2 linked regions of the Drosophila melanogaster genome follow. The protein of the gene in region 1 purifies or fractionates together with the protein of each later gene. This does not show direct contact. Each region holds a gene or a part of one and is shown on either strand. Other genes may lie near its edges.

The links.
Region 2: the proteins of CG13829 (region 1) and CG7071 purify together in Drosophila melanogaster (affinity purification with mass spectrometry, with the first as the bait; one large-scale study listed by BioGRID). This does not show direct contact.

What each region holds. Positions count from the first base shown.
Region 1 is NT_033777.3:23,159,720-23,163,006, forward strand, and holds CG13829 (uncharacterized protein), read right to left. Parts: upstream 1,620-3,287; 5' UTR 1,600-1,619; coding exon 1,489-1,599; intron 1,437-1,488; coding exon 912-1,436; 3' UTR 758-911; downstream 1-757.
Region 2 is NT_033777.3:22,360,885-22,365,400, reverse strand, and holds CG7071 (uncharacterized protein), read right to left. Parts: upstream 2,782-4,516; 5' UTR 2,486-2,781; coding exon of another isoform or gene 2,455-2,485; exon of another isoform or gene 2,395-2,454; coding exon of another isoform or gene 2,114-2,394; intron 2,048-2,113; coding exon of another isoform or gene 1,877-2,047; 5' UTR 1,872-1,876; coding exon 1,274-1,871; intron 1,205-1,273; coding exon 894-1,204; 3' UTR 821-893; downstream 1-820. Other genes in the region: CG5382 (uncharacterized protein), read left to right, coding at 1-125, 181-382, 444-733; muted, read right to left, coding at 1,877-2,047, 2,114-2,394, 2,455-2,485; JMJD6 (jumonji domain containing 6), read left to right, coding at 3,106-4,332.

The sequences.
Region 1 (3,287 bases):
TGGAGGATGCTGTACGGAAATTACCTGTTGCTCTGGGCCATTTGTTTACTTGCTGCCAACTCTGTTTGTTTACTCAGTCAACTAGCTGCGCTCGGGCCAATAGCATACTAACTGCAAGTTGTTACACGTTCATTCAACTAGAACAAATAAACATGTGAATTTCTCGCCCGGCCTTTGTTTTTGATATTTCTTTGCCTTGTTAGTGTCGCCGCGTGTGCATCGCATAAATGTGGCAATAAAACGACATTTATTATTGCTACCGAAGCATTTAATTGCCCATCACAAGAGGGTGTCACCTTCTCACGTTGCATTAACATCAAAATGAACTAATTCCTACTGGCAGATGAAAAATGGAACTGTCACCAAAGAAATTCTGCCTTCTGGAGTTGTGAATGTGCTCAAAAAAAAAAAAAAAATGGTAAGTATTGTACTTAAATCACGAGTTTCACCTGTTGCCTTTCCATGTCGTCAAAGACTTTAAAGATATTTAGACAAAGTCATGGCAGCTGACAAAAATCGGTCGATATGGGCAATAAATAAGATCACGTTGTGCAGTTTAAAGTTGGCATTGGCCATGTCACTACCGTAAACTTTCCATGCGGAAAAAACTTAGGCTGCATTCGTTCTTTGTCCCACAAACACAAATCCCTGGACATGTGGCCGTCAAGAAGTCCCAATCGCGGGATGGACAAGTGACGGCTGAAATGCGCTTCCAACTCATATTGCTTTCAACCAAAACAGAAATCATCGCGTGGGTAGCATTTTTTCGCATTGGCGAATACGAATACAATTTTCACGAAAAATATGTCAGCCACATGATGAAAGCAGGAAGTGTTCAAGATATATACAGAAGAAAGTATTGTGATGTATTGGCATATCAAAGATAGTCGAAAGGTGGAGATACAATTATTTTACAGAGATATTTTGGCGCTTTTGGCCGTCACACTCTTTGCATAGATGGCTCGGTAGATGTAAAAGCCAACTGCTGCATGAACTGCAACTACGGTGCAAATGGTCGAAATAATATCGGCATTGATATGGGCATAGCTCTTGAGCACCACAAATTTCAGGGCAAAAAAGGTGGCTATGGGAAAGCCAATTATTAGGGAACAGTAGGACATCAGCAGCAGGACAATGAACACGGATCCATGAATTTGGGTGTTTGGTGGCATCAGAACTTCCCACTCCAGCTTCTCCATGCTCGAAATCTCTTGAAGGAAGATCAGGCGCAGGATATAGCCCGTGACCAGGACATGCATCACAATTACCGTGGCTACGCCGGATCCAATGCCCACATTGTCATCGCTGTTTCCGTAGAGCGGCTCCATAATCAAGAACTTGAAGATGACGAAGATCACCACGGGAAACAGAAGGAAGACGGTCAGAAAGAGCAGCAGTCGCTGCATTCGTTCGACGAGATATTCGGCTCGCCTTTTCTGGAAGGGAATTTAGCGGACTTGGATACCGAAAGGATTTTGATTAGCTTACCTTGACATTGGAAACAAGTTCAGCATTGTTCAGATCCGCTGTGGAGCAGGGAGCGAGGGAATGGCTAACCACCTTTCCACTGGGATAAATCTTGCGCAGCTTGGCAATCATTTTGTCTATATTATATTTAACTTAGGATATGCAACTCAATGCCTACTTAAATTATTGTCTACGATTCTCAGATAGTCGTCTAATAATAGCACACATATTTTAGTTCAATAAACTTAAATCATTTTATTAGCAAATAAATATGATGCCCATAAAACTTGGCATACAAAAACAAGCCCAAGTCATTTTGGGCAATTAAGAGATCAGCAAACATAAAATTTTTTGCTGAACATAAAGATTGCCACCATGCGAGGCAGAAATATCTGGTCGCATGACTGGGGCGACATGACTATATAGTAATTAAACTTAACCTAATCACACCAGTAGCCAGTAGCCAGAAAAAGAACTTCGTCAGATTAGATATGTGTAATTAGCCAGACGGTGGAATTCGGGTAGAGCTATCTTGACCGATAAAGCCCTCCAATCAACGTCGTGATTTTTATAGCAACACTTGACTTAAAAACCGCGCCCTCGATTTATAGCAAAAGATTATTTGTGGGTCAGCTGACTGCAAGGGGATCGGTTTTTTCCCTAGCGAAATTAATTTGCCAGCAATTCATAAATTTAGAATACTACAAATCAATCGTTGGAATTTTCATTGACATTCACGATTCGGTTGTCAATTTTTCACAATTATATTGCGCATTTCGTTGGGTGTATTTTTTAGAGAAATTAGCAAATTTGAAGGCCAAAATTATTGTGAAAGATTAACATTCCATTTATTTCTCAGTTATTCACAAGAAAAGCATTTGGGGCTCATAAAGATTTAACAAACATAGATTACCATAAATCTTTGACGTTACATTCGCTTTAAATTAATAATCTTATCTAACTTTGAACGCACGTTACTCATACGCAACGTTGGCCCATTGATTTGAATGCAGAGCAGACTTCCTGGCTAAAAATAAAGCAATAGAATGGGAATTTTATGAATACGCTTATCCAATATTTTTCAACTGTTATGTCTGTGAATCATGCAAATTTTAGACCAGCCTCTGTTATCACTCAAAAGCAGCTGCTCTATAAATAATTTCGAGCGATAAAGAGACGGCATATTTGTGTTTTGGTTATTCGATCAGTTTGGCCTTTGATGCCGTTGCCAAGGGCTAACGCGGCATCCGAAAATAGCCAGCTTTGGTTCTTGTTCTAGCCAATCTTTATGGTCTGCCAGAGAACTGGCCCCCATCCAAATGGCCAACAGCTGTGTGAACAGCGGGAATGGCGTGAAAATAATGCAAATAATGAATATAATGAGAATTATGCCAAGTTCGGTATGAGAATCGGGTCAATATACCACAACCACTTCGACAGGTTGACAAATGGGTCTCGGATAGCTCATTAGTGTGGGTATGCTGGTCATGCAAATTGCACGACAACTAATGGCGAAACTATTTGCAATTCAACTCCCGCGGGGCATTCCACTCGCCCAATCCCAATCCCAATTCCAATCCTTCCGGTTCCATTTCGAAGAGTGTCCTTCAACCAACCGAACCAAAGCTGCTGTACTTATGTATGCATGCATATCATCGGCTTGCAGCTTGCTTCTTGTACGCACATGTGTGTACGGCAATTATGGTAATTGCCTTGTCTGGGCATCCGCTTCCCGTTGGCGTCCGTTTGTTTGCCTGGCCATCCAACCCCAACCAGACCAGTGGAGAGCACCGGATCGGCCAATTCAACCCATCCCGTCC
Region 2 (4,516 bases), 800 kb from region 1:
ACCAGTGCCCCGCCTGCAGTGTGGAGATCTTTCCCAACGCCAACCTGGTCTCCCCGGTGGCCGATGCTCTGAAGAGTTTCCTGTCGCAGGTTAACTGGGGCAGAAATGGCCTGGGACTCGCCCTGGTAAGCATTCCGGGCAGTAAGCTTGTAATCAATTTAAATGTTGAATCTTTCCCAGCTCTCTGAGGAGCAGAGCAGCAGTCTGAAGGCCATTAAGCCCAAGGTGGCAAGCCAGGCGGCTGTCAGCAACATGACCAAAGTGCACCACATCCATTCCGGTGGCGAGCGAGAGCGCACGAAGCCCAATGGCCATGACGCCGTGAGCCCACATTCCGTGCTCCTAATGGATGCATTTAATCCCCCAAGTGCGGGCGACTACGGTGCGCATAATCTAGCATACACTTTGAGTCATATTATAATTATAATCTTACGCACCTGCAGCCAGCAGCAGAAGACCGCTGCTGCCCCGTCAGTCGCCAATTGGTGGGACAGATCGAGACGATAATAAGTACCAGCGCCGCACTCCTGCGGAATTGTTCTCGCGATGGACACGCCGCTTCTATGCGCCCTCCTCGCGGCCGCCGTGGCGTCGCACTTGGTTCCTGGTGACCGCCGGCATTTTGGCCTTTGTCTTGTTCGTCTATCTTATGGCCTGGCTGGGTCGCGGAGGATCTGATGCCGTGGACGAGGGCTGGAATAACCCCAATCCACAGCCGAACCACTACGAATAGGGTGTGCATTCACGGTCGAAATAAGCATACGTAGCATATAATCGATATCCAAGTCCCCGATTCCGAAAGAATAAAACTTTTACAGCTATTTATATAACCTAACATTGCAAAGCGAAATAATACAACGACAAAGAACGATTTTTACTCGCAGATCATCTATCTAGTCAACATGGGGTTTCAATGTCTGGACTTGACTTCCCTCGGCGGGCGGGGTGCGCTTAGCCGGCGTCGATGGCTGCGGCTTACGTTTGGGCGCGTCCAAGACCTCATCGTACTCGTGCAGCTTCTTGGCCAGGAAGTACATCTCAGCCAGGGCTATGATGAGCGCTACAATCACGCCCAGCAAGATGCGAAAGCCGAAAGGCAGCGGGCCCACCATCAAATTGACGCCGAAAAAGCCGAACGTAAAGCCAGCGGCCACGGAGAAGATGAACTGCACCACGGCAATGATTTGCTTGTTAAGGCTCTTAACTGAAAGGGAAGGGAAGAAGAAAAAGGTTTTAAAAGGGCGGATCTAACAAGCTGGGCGTATTCACTTACTCTGATAGCTGATAGTGTCCTCTGGATAGTGTTTTAAGCCGGCATCCACATTCTTGGTCATTTTGAGGTAATCCCGATTTTGTTGCTCTGCGCGAAGACGTTGGCAGCGCGCTTCTAGCTCAGGATTGCGCGGCTTCATTTCGTTTTCGGGCAGGAGCAGATCACAGGACTCAATTAGCTGATGCAGAAAGACTTGGCAGTGATCCTGACGACGCAGTTCAGCCAGTGTTTTTGAGAGCCAGTGCAGGTCGGTTAAGTATAGGAAATGTTTAACCTCCCTTGTTGACTTTGCGTCATCACTATCCTTGACCCCTGAATCTGGTTCCGATTTATCCTTAGCAGGTTCTTCTGGTTTGTCGGCTAGGTTTTCAGTTAGTTTTGTCAACAGCTCGTAATTGAGTTTTGGTCGTTTGTACTCCAAGCCCGCATCCTTGATAATCCTAATAGAGGTGGGCAGTGTGTGGCCTCTTTGCTTCATAATCTTGGCCACATTTTCGGGCAACTCCTTTAAGTGCTTCTTTTGGGCGTCCAGAAAGTCAAGCAGCTTCTTTGACGGCACAAGGCGCACCCGCGGATCAACAATCGTTGACTTCAGCATAGTTTCTACTTGGCAATGTTAAGCTTTAGTTGCAAATCTGAGTAAAGCTCTGCGATTTCCTCCTCCTTCTCCTCGAATGAGTTCTCGATTCGGCGATAGCCGTGCTCCAAATTGGTTAGGAACTCCGCCCGGCGTTGCTCACGTGCCAGTCGCGCCTCCTGCAACTGGGTGCTAGCCTGCAATTCGAACGGAAGACCAATTAATCAATGATAAACAGGCGGAGATTACGCTGGCCCACTAACAGTTCGTTCCACCTTCGCTTTCGCCAAGAGTGCGTTGACCCCGTCCAGCAGATGGCTGACTTCCGTGTCCAGTTGGGCGAGGTTCTCGGCTCCGCTACCCCTTCCGGTTGCACTGCACCGGGACAGATCGTACTTCAGAGATCCCACTGTTTCGGTGACCTGGAAAAGTTTCTCCACTTCGCTGTCGTTGCGCCGCACCTCGAAGTTCTCAAGAAAGGCCTCGATCTCGCCGTTTACGAACACGCGATGGTCTAGAATGCGAAGCGGCACCTTGTAGAGCTCTGGAAGAGTTGGTAGCACCTGGTTATTAACGATTTTACACTGCTTTTCAAAAACTCCACCTCGTCCGACTTGGCTTATCATTATTTTCATTCGCCCACAGCTGTCACATGAGAAATCGTAGCGAACCAGGGCTTCCACTATCGTATATCGTATGATATACTTAAGATGTTATCTTAAGTTATTTATCCATTAATTTTTGCATTGCTTTTGAGGCCTGTGCTTTAGCACAGATAGTATGAAAGATCCTGCTCACAATAGTTTTATTTTTAATTTTATTTATTTTGTACTTTGAATTTGGCTAACAAACGCTGGTCACCTTAAAGTCTTGCAGCCCTGGCTCTCAATGAAAATACAACTTACACTCGCGAGGGTTAAATTTAAGTGAGCGTTGGTGGGGGAACGGTTGAGTTTGGAACATGGGGAACATGGGGTAGTAGCGCACTACTACCATTTAGGTTCTTTTATGTATGGGCTGGTTCATACTGGACCTGTGTACAATTCTTTAATAATGAAATGTTTTGAAAATGTCCGTTTACTCGGTAAACATCTGATAAAACCAGTAAAGGAGTGCTTGTCTGGCGACCAGCTGAGTGACCAGGTGCGGTCCCGCGTCGCGTTTTCAGCATGTTCGAACCTGCGGCGTCTGGCCACACTGCACTCACGCTGCTTTAATTTCCAGGAGCTGTGGAAAATTGGCCAATTTCAGCAGGATGAGCGAGGAATTCAAGCTGCCCAAGCGTTCCCGCAAGCGCACACGTGAGGTGAAGCGCAAGGCTCGTCCGGAGCTGGACGGCGAGAATGCCTGGTCGGCCATGCGGTACTGTGAGAAGTTCGAGCCATTTTGGGATTTCACCGATAACCTGGAGCGGATCGAGGAGTCGCAGGTGCCGGAGTCGGAGTTCATCGAACGCTTCGAGCGACCCTACAAGCCGGTGGTCATTCGCGGCTGCACCGATGGCTGGTTGGCGCTGGAAAAGTGGACACTAGCCCGCCTGGCCAAGAAGTATCGCAACCAGAAGTTCAAGTGCGGCGAGGACAACGAGGGCTATAGCGTCAAGATGAAGATGAAGTACTACGTGGAGTACATGCAGAGCACGCGCGATGACAGCCCGCTGTACATCTTCGACAGCAGCTTCGGCGAACACCATCGTCGGCGCAAGCTCCTGGATGACTATGTGGTGCCCAAGTATTTTCGCGACGACCTCTTCCAGTACTGCGGCGAGAATCGTCGTCCGCCTTACCGCTGGTTTGTCATGGGACCGGCTCGCTCCGGCACCGGCATCCACATTGATCCACTGGGCACTAGTGCCTGGAACACGCTGATCCGCGGCCACAAGCGCTGGTGCCTGTTCCCCACCCAAACGCCCAAGGAGCTGCTCAAGGTCACCAGTGCCATGGGTGGCAAGCAGCGAGACGAGGCCATCACCTGGTTCAGCACCATATATCCGCGCACCCAGCTGCCTAGTTGGCCGGAGCAATACCGCCCCATCGAAGTGCTGCAGGGAGCAGGCGAGACTGTATTCGTGCCCGGCGGCTGGTGGCACGTGGTGCTCAACATGGACGACACCATTGCCATCACCCAGAACTTCAGTTCGCAGACGAACTTCCCCTGCGTCTGGCACAAGACTGTTCGCGGCCGGCCAAAGTTGTCACGCAAGTGGCTGCGCGTGCTGCGAGACCAGCGACCGGAGCTGGCCCAGATCGCCGATAGTATTAACCTGAACGAGAGCACCGGCTTCGCATCGGACAGCTCCAGCAATTCAAGCTCCTCCTCGTCGAGCAGCTCCTCGTCTTCGGAGGAGGAGGAGAGCGACGATGGCGGCGATTCCAACACGGACAGCGGCCAGGAGAGTCTGACGGCCAAGAAGAAAAAGAAGCGGCGCATGGCTGGCGGCGGCTCCGGGTCCGGCTCCATGGGCGGATCATCGCGTTCCTGATCCAGGGAGCGGGCCAAGCGCAAGGGCTTGCTCATGCGCCTCTTTCAACGCCAACTGATGCTGCTGAGAGGACTGCCCCGCCGCTGCCGGCTCAGTTAGCACTGAGGTCGCGATCATACTCTGCAGAGTTTTGTGTATTTTTCTACTTGGACCAGCATGTTTGCAGCTCCTGGATCCCGTGCTC